Cricetulus griseus: one gene and its partner. The protein of the gene in region 1 purifies or fractionates together with the protein of each later gene. This does not show direct contact. Links are inferred from orthologs where the notes say so. Each region holds a gene or a part of one and is shown in the gene's direction. Other genes may lie near its edges. The genes, in order: Erbb3 and Grb2.

Evidence for each region.
Region 2: the proteins of Erbb3 (region 1) and Grb2 purify together in Homo sapiens (affinity purification with mass spectrometry; 3 studies listed by BioGRID and IntAct, with this or other methods). This does not show direct contact. The link is inferred for Cricetulus griseus from reciprocal best matches to the Homo sapiens genes ERBB3 and GRB2.

Annotation. Positions count from the first base shown.
Region 1 is NW_023276806.1:129,327,138-129,330,953, forward strand, and holds part of Erbb3 (receptor tyrosine-protein kinase erbB-3), read left to right. Parts: intron 1-259; coding exon 260-333; intron 334-841; coding exon 842-932; intron 933-1,304; coding exon 1,305-1,510; intron 1,511-1,691; coding exon 1,692-1,824; intron 1,825-2,471; coding exon 2,472-2,562; intron 2,563-2,733; coding exon 2,734-2,888; intron 2,889-3,816. UniProt on the Homo sapiens protein: Tyrosine-protein kinase that plays an essential role as cell surface receptor for neuregulins.
Region 2 is NC_048600.1:128,239,808-128,242,797, reverse strand, and holds the end of Grb2 (growth factor receptor-bound protein 2), read left to right. Parts: coding exon 1-31; intron 32-541; coding exon 542-727; 3' UTR 728-2,330; downstream 2,331-2,990. UniProt on the Homo sapiens protein: Non-enzymatic adapter protein that plays a pivotal role in precisely regulated signaling cascades from cell surface receptors to cellular responses, including signaling transduction and gene expression.

The DNA of each region.
Region 1 (3,816 bases):
ATGTATTTGTTTGTGTTTCCCACACCACCAGCACCTCTCCAAGGAGTTCTGTTTCCTTAGGATGAAGACTATGATTTAGGAGCCAAGAGGCTGGGTTATAATACCACAGCTTGCTTAGCATATTTAAAGCCCTGGGTTTGATCCCCGGCACAGCAGGGAAAAATGACATCTGGAAACTGTGTTTTGAGGTGTGATGTGTTTATTACCACTGAGTCATGCATGCCTCTTCTTTGTTGAAAAGTTTTCACTATTCCCCCAGAGACCCCTGGCACAAGATCCCTGCGCTGGACCCAGAGAAGCTCAATGTTTTCAGGACGGTCCGGGAGATCACAGGTGAGGAAGATCAAAGACTTCCTTTGCTGGAAGGAGCAGATGACCCACCGACATGCATTATAGTTAAACCACTTAAGAGAAGTCACACTCGAGGACTGGAGAGGTGGCTCAGAGGTCCTGAGTTCAATTCCCAGCAACGATATGGTGGCTCACAACCATCTGTAAGGAGATGTGGTGCCCTCTTCTGGCATGCAGGCATACATGCAGGCAGAATGCTGTATATAAATAATAATAAAAAAAAAGTTACACTCTTCTGGACAGAAGTGGCGCACGCCTTTAACCCCAGCACTCGGGAGGCACAGGCAGATGGATCTCTTTGAGTTTGAGTCCAGCCTGGTCTTCAGAGAGAGTTCCATACAGCCTTCAAAACAATACAGAGAAACCCTGTCTCGAAAAAAAAAAAGGAAAGAAAAAAAAAAGTCACACTCCAAGGCACAGTGGGACAGTGACAGGGAACCTGAGGGCAGGAGAAGACTCCCTGCTTATATGCCTCTCTCCAACCCCTCAGGGTACCTAAACATCCAGTCCTGGCCTCCTCACATGCACAACTTCAGTGTGTTTTCCAACCTGACAACCATCGGGGGCAGAAGCCTCTACAAGTGAGTAAGGTGGAGGTGATATCTTCTCCAGACATTGCGATGGGCGTCTCCTTATGAAACACAGCGCGTCTCCCAACCAACAGCCCCCAGTAGTCTGCTAACACAATGGGGGGGGGCAAATGTGGGGTTGTAACCTTAACATTGCAGAGGCTGACCCAGGAGGGTCACAGCAAGTTCAAGACCAGCTTGGGCTGCATAGTGAATTCCTGACCTGCCTCAGAGATGTAGTAAGATCTGTCTCAGAAAACAATCCCGCCAAAAGAGGGAATCCCTCTCCATGGCTCTAACTTAGCCTGGAGCAAATTTGTTGAGTGGAAATAAATCCCACTTTCCCTTTATAGTCTGCCTTCTAATTCTGCCTCCTTATTCCAGCCGGGGCTTCTCCTTGTTGATCATGAAGAACCTGAATGTCACATCCCTGGGCCTCCGGTCCCTGAAGGAAATTAGTGCTGGGCGTGTCTACATAAGTGCCAATCAGCAGCTCTGCTACCACCATTCTCTGAACTGGACAAGACTGCTCCGGGGGCCTTCGGATGACAGACTTGACATCAAGTATAATCGGTCTCCGAGAGAATGTGGTGAGAGGAAGGGCCTACCAGGAGTAAGAACTGGTGGTTGGGGAGGTGAGACCCTCAAAGTGGAGTAGGCTTGAGGGATGGAGCCAGTAAGGACGTGGGACGTGGCAGCAATGAAGAACTGTTCAGAAGAAGGCTTCCTGGGAGTCCTGAGTCTTTTCTTAACCTGTCTGTTCTTTTCCAGAGGCAGAGGGTAAAGTGTGTGACCCACTGTGCTCCTCCGGGGGATGCTGGGGCCCAGGCCCTGGCCAGTGCTTGTCTTGTCGAAACTACAGCCGGGAAGGTGTCTGTGTGACTCACTGCAACTTCCTGAAAGGGTACAGTGTGGAGGATGCCAAGAGGGTGGAGTAAGGCCCAGGGATGGATGGAGGAGTTCAGGCGCTAATGAACTGTGATTTTCACTCTCCCTTCCCCCCCTCCTCCCACCCCCCACTCACTCTGTAGCCCAGACGGGCCTTAAATCCTTCTGTCTAAACCTTCCAAATGCTGGGATTACAGCTATGAGCCACCGTGTCTGGCTCGATCGAAGGGAGCAAGGGAGTGAGGGAGTGGGGGCAGGGAGAGACAGACAGACAGGACCTTATAGTCTTGGCCTGGAACTTGCTATGCAGGACCAGACAGGACTCAGAGATCTTCCTGCTTCTGCTTCCTGAGCGCTGAGGTTAAAGGTGTGCATGACCACATCTGGTCCTCTATTTCTTTCTTGTTTGCTTGCCTGCCTGCTAGCTTTTGTTTTTATACAGGGTCTCACTCTGTAATCCAGGCAGGCCTTGAACTCATGGAAATCTTCCTGCCTTAGCTTCCAAAGTTCTGGGATTACAGATGTGAGCCACCACCCCTGGCTTTGTAGGCAGCTTTCTGCTTGTGTCTTGGTGAGCATGAAGCAGAAAGCCCTTATTACAGAATAAGGGCATGAAGGTCAGAACTTTGGAAGTGACCTCCCTCTGTCTGTCCCCCACTGCAGGGAGCCTCGGGAGTTTGCTCATGAGGGTGAATGTTTCTCCTGCCACCCAGAATGCCTTCCCATGGAGGGCACCAGCACGTGCAATGGCTCGGTACAGTAGCAGCCTTGGGATCTGTGAGGGAGATGGGCAATGTCTACAGAATGATATGGCCAAATTCCCAGGGGAGCCTGAGAACCCTGGGATCTGTACATGAGAATCCTGAAGGGATAAAGGCTGGAATTAATACTGAGATCTCATTCTCCACAATCCTCTTCTACTCAGGGCTCTGAGGCTTGTGCTCAATGTACCCATTTCCGTGATGGGCCCCACTGTGTCAACAGCTGCCCCCATGGAATCCTAGGTGCCAAGGGTCCAATCTACAAGTACCCAGATGCTCAGAATGAATGTCGGCCCTGCCATGAGAACTGCACTCAGGGGTGAGTGATGGGATGAAAAGGAGGTGGGGGAGTGGGGACATTTAATTAGGATGAGGGGAGAAGCAAGAAGAGAGGTTCAGCTACTTAAGACTCACTTCCAGGGCTGGAGAGATGGCTCAGTGGTTAAGAACACTAGCTGGTCTTCCAGAGCTACTGAGTTCAATTCCTAGCAACCACATGATGGCTCACAACCATCTGTAGTGAGATCTGGTGCCTTCTTCTGGCAGGCATATATGCAGGCAGGACACTATATATATAATAAATAAATAAATCTAAAAAAAATTCACTTCCAGCTACAGAGTAAAGGACTGGAGGAAGAGAAACTCACAGCACGAAAGTAGACCACCGTTAGGGGAAGCTAGAATAAGCTCGGGAGTTTAATTCAAGAAAAATTGTAGTGAGCCAGAGATGGGGAATGAGATACTCAAGAGGGGTGGGAGTGGAGTCTCCTCTGTTTAGGAGCTCAGTTTGGGGCTCCCGGTGCCACAATAGGTTTGTTCTGAAAGAAGCTTTTATATGTAGAGGTTCTTGGACCTGAGTCTCTATTGTCTCTTAAAAAATTACTTTTAGGGCTGGAGAGATGGCTCAGAGGTTAAGAGCACTGACTGTTCTTCCAGAGGTCCTGAGTTCAATTCCCAGCAACCACATGGTGGCTCACAACCACCTTGAATGAGATCTGGTGCCCTCTGCCGGCATGCAGGCAGAAGACTGCATACATAATAAATAAAATCTTTTAAAAAATTACTTTTATAGGAGTTGCATGTAAAAACAATTACTTTATAAATATTTATTGTGTATATGGGCACAGTGTGTGCATGTGTGCTATGGTGTGTGTATGGAGATCAAATGACAACTTAAGGAAGTTGACTCTCTCCTTCCCTTATATGGTTTCCAGGGATCAAACTCAGGTCCTCAGGCTTGGCAGCAA
Region 2 (2,990 bases), on another chromosome or scaffold:
ATTCCTGCGGGACATAGAGCAGGTGCCACAGGTAAGCCAGGGCCTCCGCAGCACCACTCTGTGCACCAGGCTGCCTTCATCCACACTGAGGATCTGCAGTTGTCAGTCAGGTAGTTTTGCCACCAGGGAGAAGTGCTTCCAGACCCGGGTGGGCTGTCTGCTCGAACCCCTGTCCTTTGCTTAATTACAAGCAGGGGTTTCAGTCAGAACTGCCTTTTGACTTGTAGGACCTAAGTGACTGGAACACAGACATTTTTACACCTGTTAGCAGAGCTCTGGTGCGCACAGCCTATGTTGTTGCCGCCCCCACTAGTTTAATAGGCCCATTGGCCATCGTCAGTGACATAGGTGTTTGTACCCGAGTGGGTTTTGGATATCAGTAAAGGATTACTCTGAACCCAGCTAGGATTGAGGGATGGTGGGATGGAGGAAGTTAGAGGGAGGCTGCCTTGGGAGTGGGTGGACAGTGAGCAGTGGCTGACAAGGCAGCTGGCAGCATGAGGAATGAACGCCGTTCTCGTCCTCTGCTTGTCTTTTGCAGCAGCCAACGTATGTCCAGGCACTGTTTGACTTTGACCCCCAGGAAGACGGTGAGCTGGGCTTTCGCAGAGGAGACTTCATCCATGTCATGGATAACTCAGATCCCAACTGGTGGAAGGGGGCCTGCCATGGGCAGACCGGCATGTTTCCCCGCAATTACGTCACCCCAGTGAACCGGAACGTCTAAGAAGCAGAAGAGATTATTTAAAGAAAGTGAAAAGTTGAGACCATTCACAAGAATTGCACCCACATGCTGCCTGTCACAGCTTGTGAGGGAGTGCAGAACATCTGGCTGGGTCCTACTGGTGACCCTCTCACTTAGGTTGAAACTTTGGGGGGTGGGAAGGGGTGTTTGATTTCATAATGCCAAAACTTAACCTATTGAATTGAATTACAGTTTTTATTACAGAATCTCACTGCTGCTCCTGTTCCCCTCCTATCTCCTTTTCTCATCCTTTCTTTCCTGTCCTTCAGTGCATGACGTTTGAGGCCACGTATAGTCCCAGCTGATGCCAATACTAAAAGAAACCAAGTGGGCTGGTACTTTCTCTATGCAAAATGTCTGTGGAGATGAATGGACTAAAAGAGCTATATTCTTCACACACAAGGGGCGGCCAGGGCACCTGGGGCCCGTGAATGGGCTTCTGCCAGAGATGCCTGAGGGCATCTGCCTCCAGCCCAAGCCTGGAGCATCCCGTCAAGGTTGGACTTTGTAGGGGAAGGAGGCACGCCACCCACCTCTGGTCCCCGAGTCACTGCAGACCTGCGCCTCCTCCCACTGTCTCCCCGTCAGGTGTTGCTCAAATGTTGTTTTTCATAGTGCCTTTTTTCTTATTTCAAGGGTGTTTTATGAGTGGTGTTTTTACTTTTTTTTATATAAGTTAAAGACAGTCCAGAGCTTTTCCTATCCTGTATAATATTTTCCTCTCAGGGCAGGGGAAACAGGATAGAGAAAGGAAACAGGAGAAGCAGAGCGTGGTATTGCCTGTCTGGAGGGGCCAGAGGTCTTGGAAGACTCTGCTCCCTGGCTGTGGTCTGCCCTTTCCATGCCTGGAGCCAGTGAGTGTCAAACACAGAAGACAGGGGCAGGTGGCAGCCAAGCTGTCCTTCCTCCCCTGTCACAGGCCTGCACTCGGGTGGGAGCTGAGAGTATGGCTTTTCGTTGTCCTTGCTCTTAGAATTAGGTCCTTGCTCTCAATTGTGTATTTTCCAACCTGCCCAAGAGCGCAGATAGCAGGGTTGGGGCTTGGTGTGTTCACAGCTGTTCTGCTGCCGCATCCCATGAAGCTGTGTGAGGTGGGAAAGAGCACAACCCATGCAAAGAAAGCTCTTTGTCTGTCTCCTGTGAGCTTCCAGTCCTCTGTACACCAATCTCTGCACCTAGCCTCCTTCCCACAGCAAAACAAGGCTCCTCCTAGTCTCCCTTGGAGTTGGCAGTGTCCTTGGGCTGCTGGGCTCTTCGGGGTGGGGTCTCCCCTGGACTCTGTTGGGAGATGGACTCAGCCCTGCCCTGGGGGCGGCCTTCCAAATGGAGCTGTCCCTGCCCTCCTGGTTTTGCTTCCTCTTTCCCTGCTGATGATAAAATGAAATAATGAGTTACACCTGGGCCATTTGATTGTTTTATTTTGGAATTGGTGTATATCATGAAGCCTTGCTGAACTAAGTTTTGTGTGTATATATTTAAAGATCAGTGTTTAAATAAAAAGACCTATGTACTTACTCCCTTAACTTCTGCGAATAGCGATTTGGTAGGTAGTGATTAACTGTGAATAAACATACAATGAATTCTTCTCAGTGCATCTTCTTTTCTCCCTGATGACGTCTTTATATTCTAGACAGGGTCTCTCACTGTTGCCCTGCCTGACCTGGAATTCACAGTGTTCCACCTACCTCTGCCTCACGGATGCTGGGATTAAACACAGGCTGGTACATCTAGCCCCTGTGGCCCCAGAACAAGTGATTAGTTCATCATTTGGAAATTGGTTTAGATCAAGAGCTGGGCTTACAAGGCTCCTCCCGATCTCAGAGGAAGTAGCTGAGACCCCTTGACTATGACTGCTGCTTCTAGGGTGAGACAAGGCTCTTAAAGCAAGGGTTAATAGTTGAACAAAAGAGAAATGACTTTGAGCAAACAACCTCATTGTGGTATCACAGCTAGGGAGTTTCCGGGTGCCACCCCTCCCCTGCAGTGAGTTAATAAGCAAGAGGGCGGTGCTCCTGTCCCCTCTGCTGGCTCTGGTTCCATGCAGACTACCCTGAAGCTAAGCAGAAGTTCCCAACATGAGGTCATCAGAGTAAAAGGCAGAAACTGACATTGCACCCCATTTATGTCCTTGATCAGTTTGACCCCTTCCTGGTTTGGGGGCTGGGAACCCGAAGCCTTGCACTTGCCAAGCACTCTGTCTCTGAGCTGGGTCTCCACTCAGTGGCTTCAGAGTTTAGCATCAGGA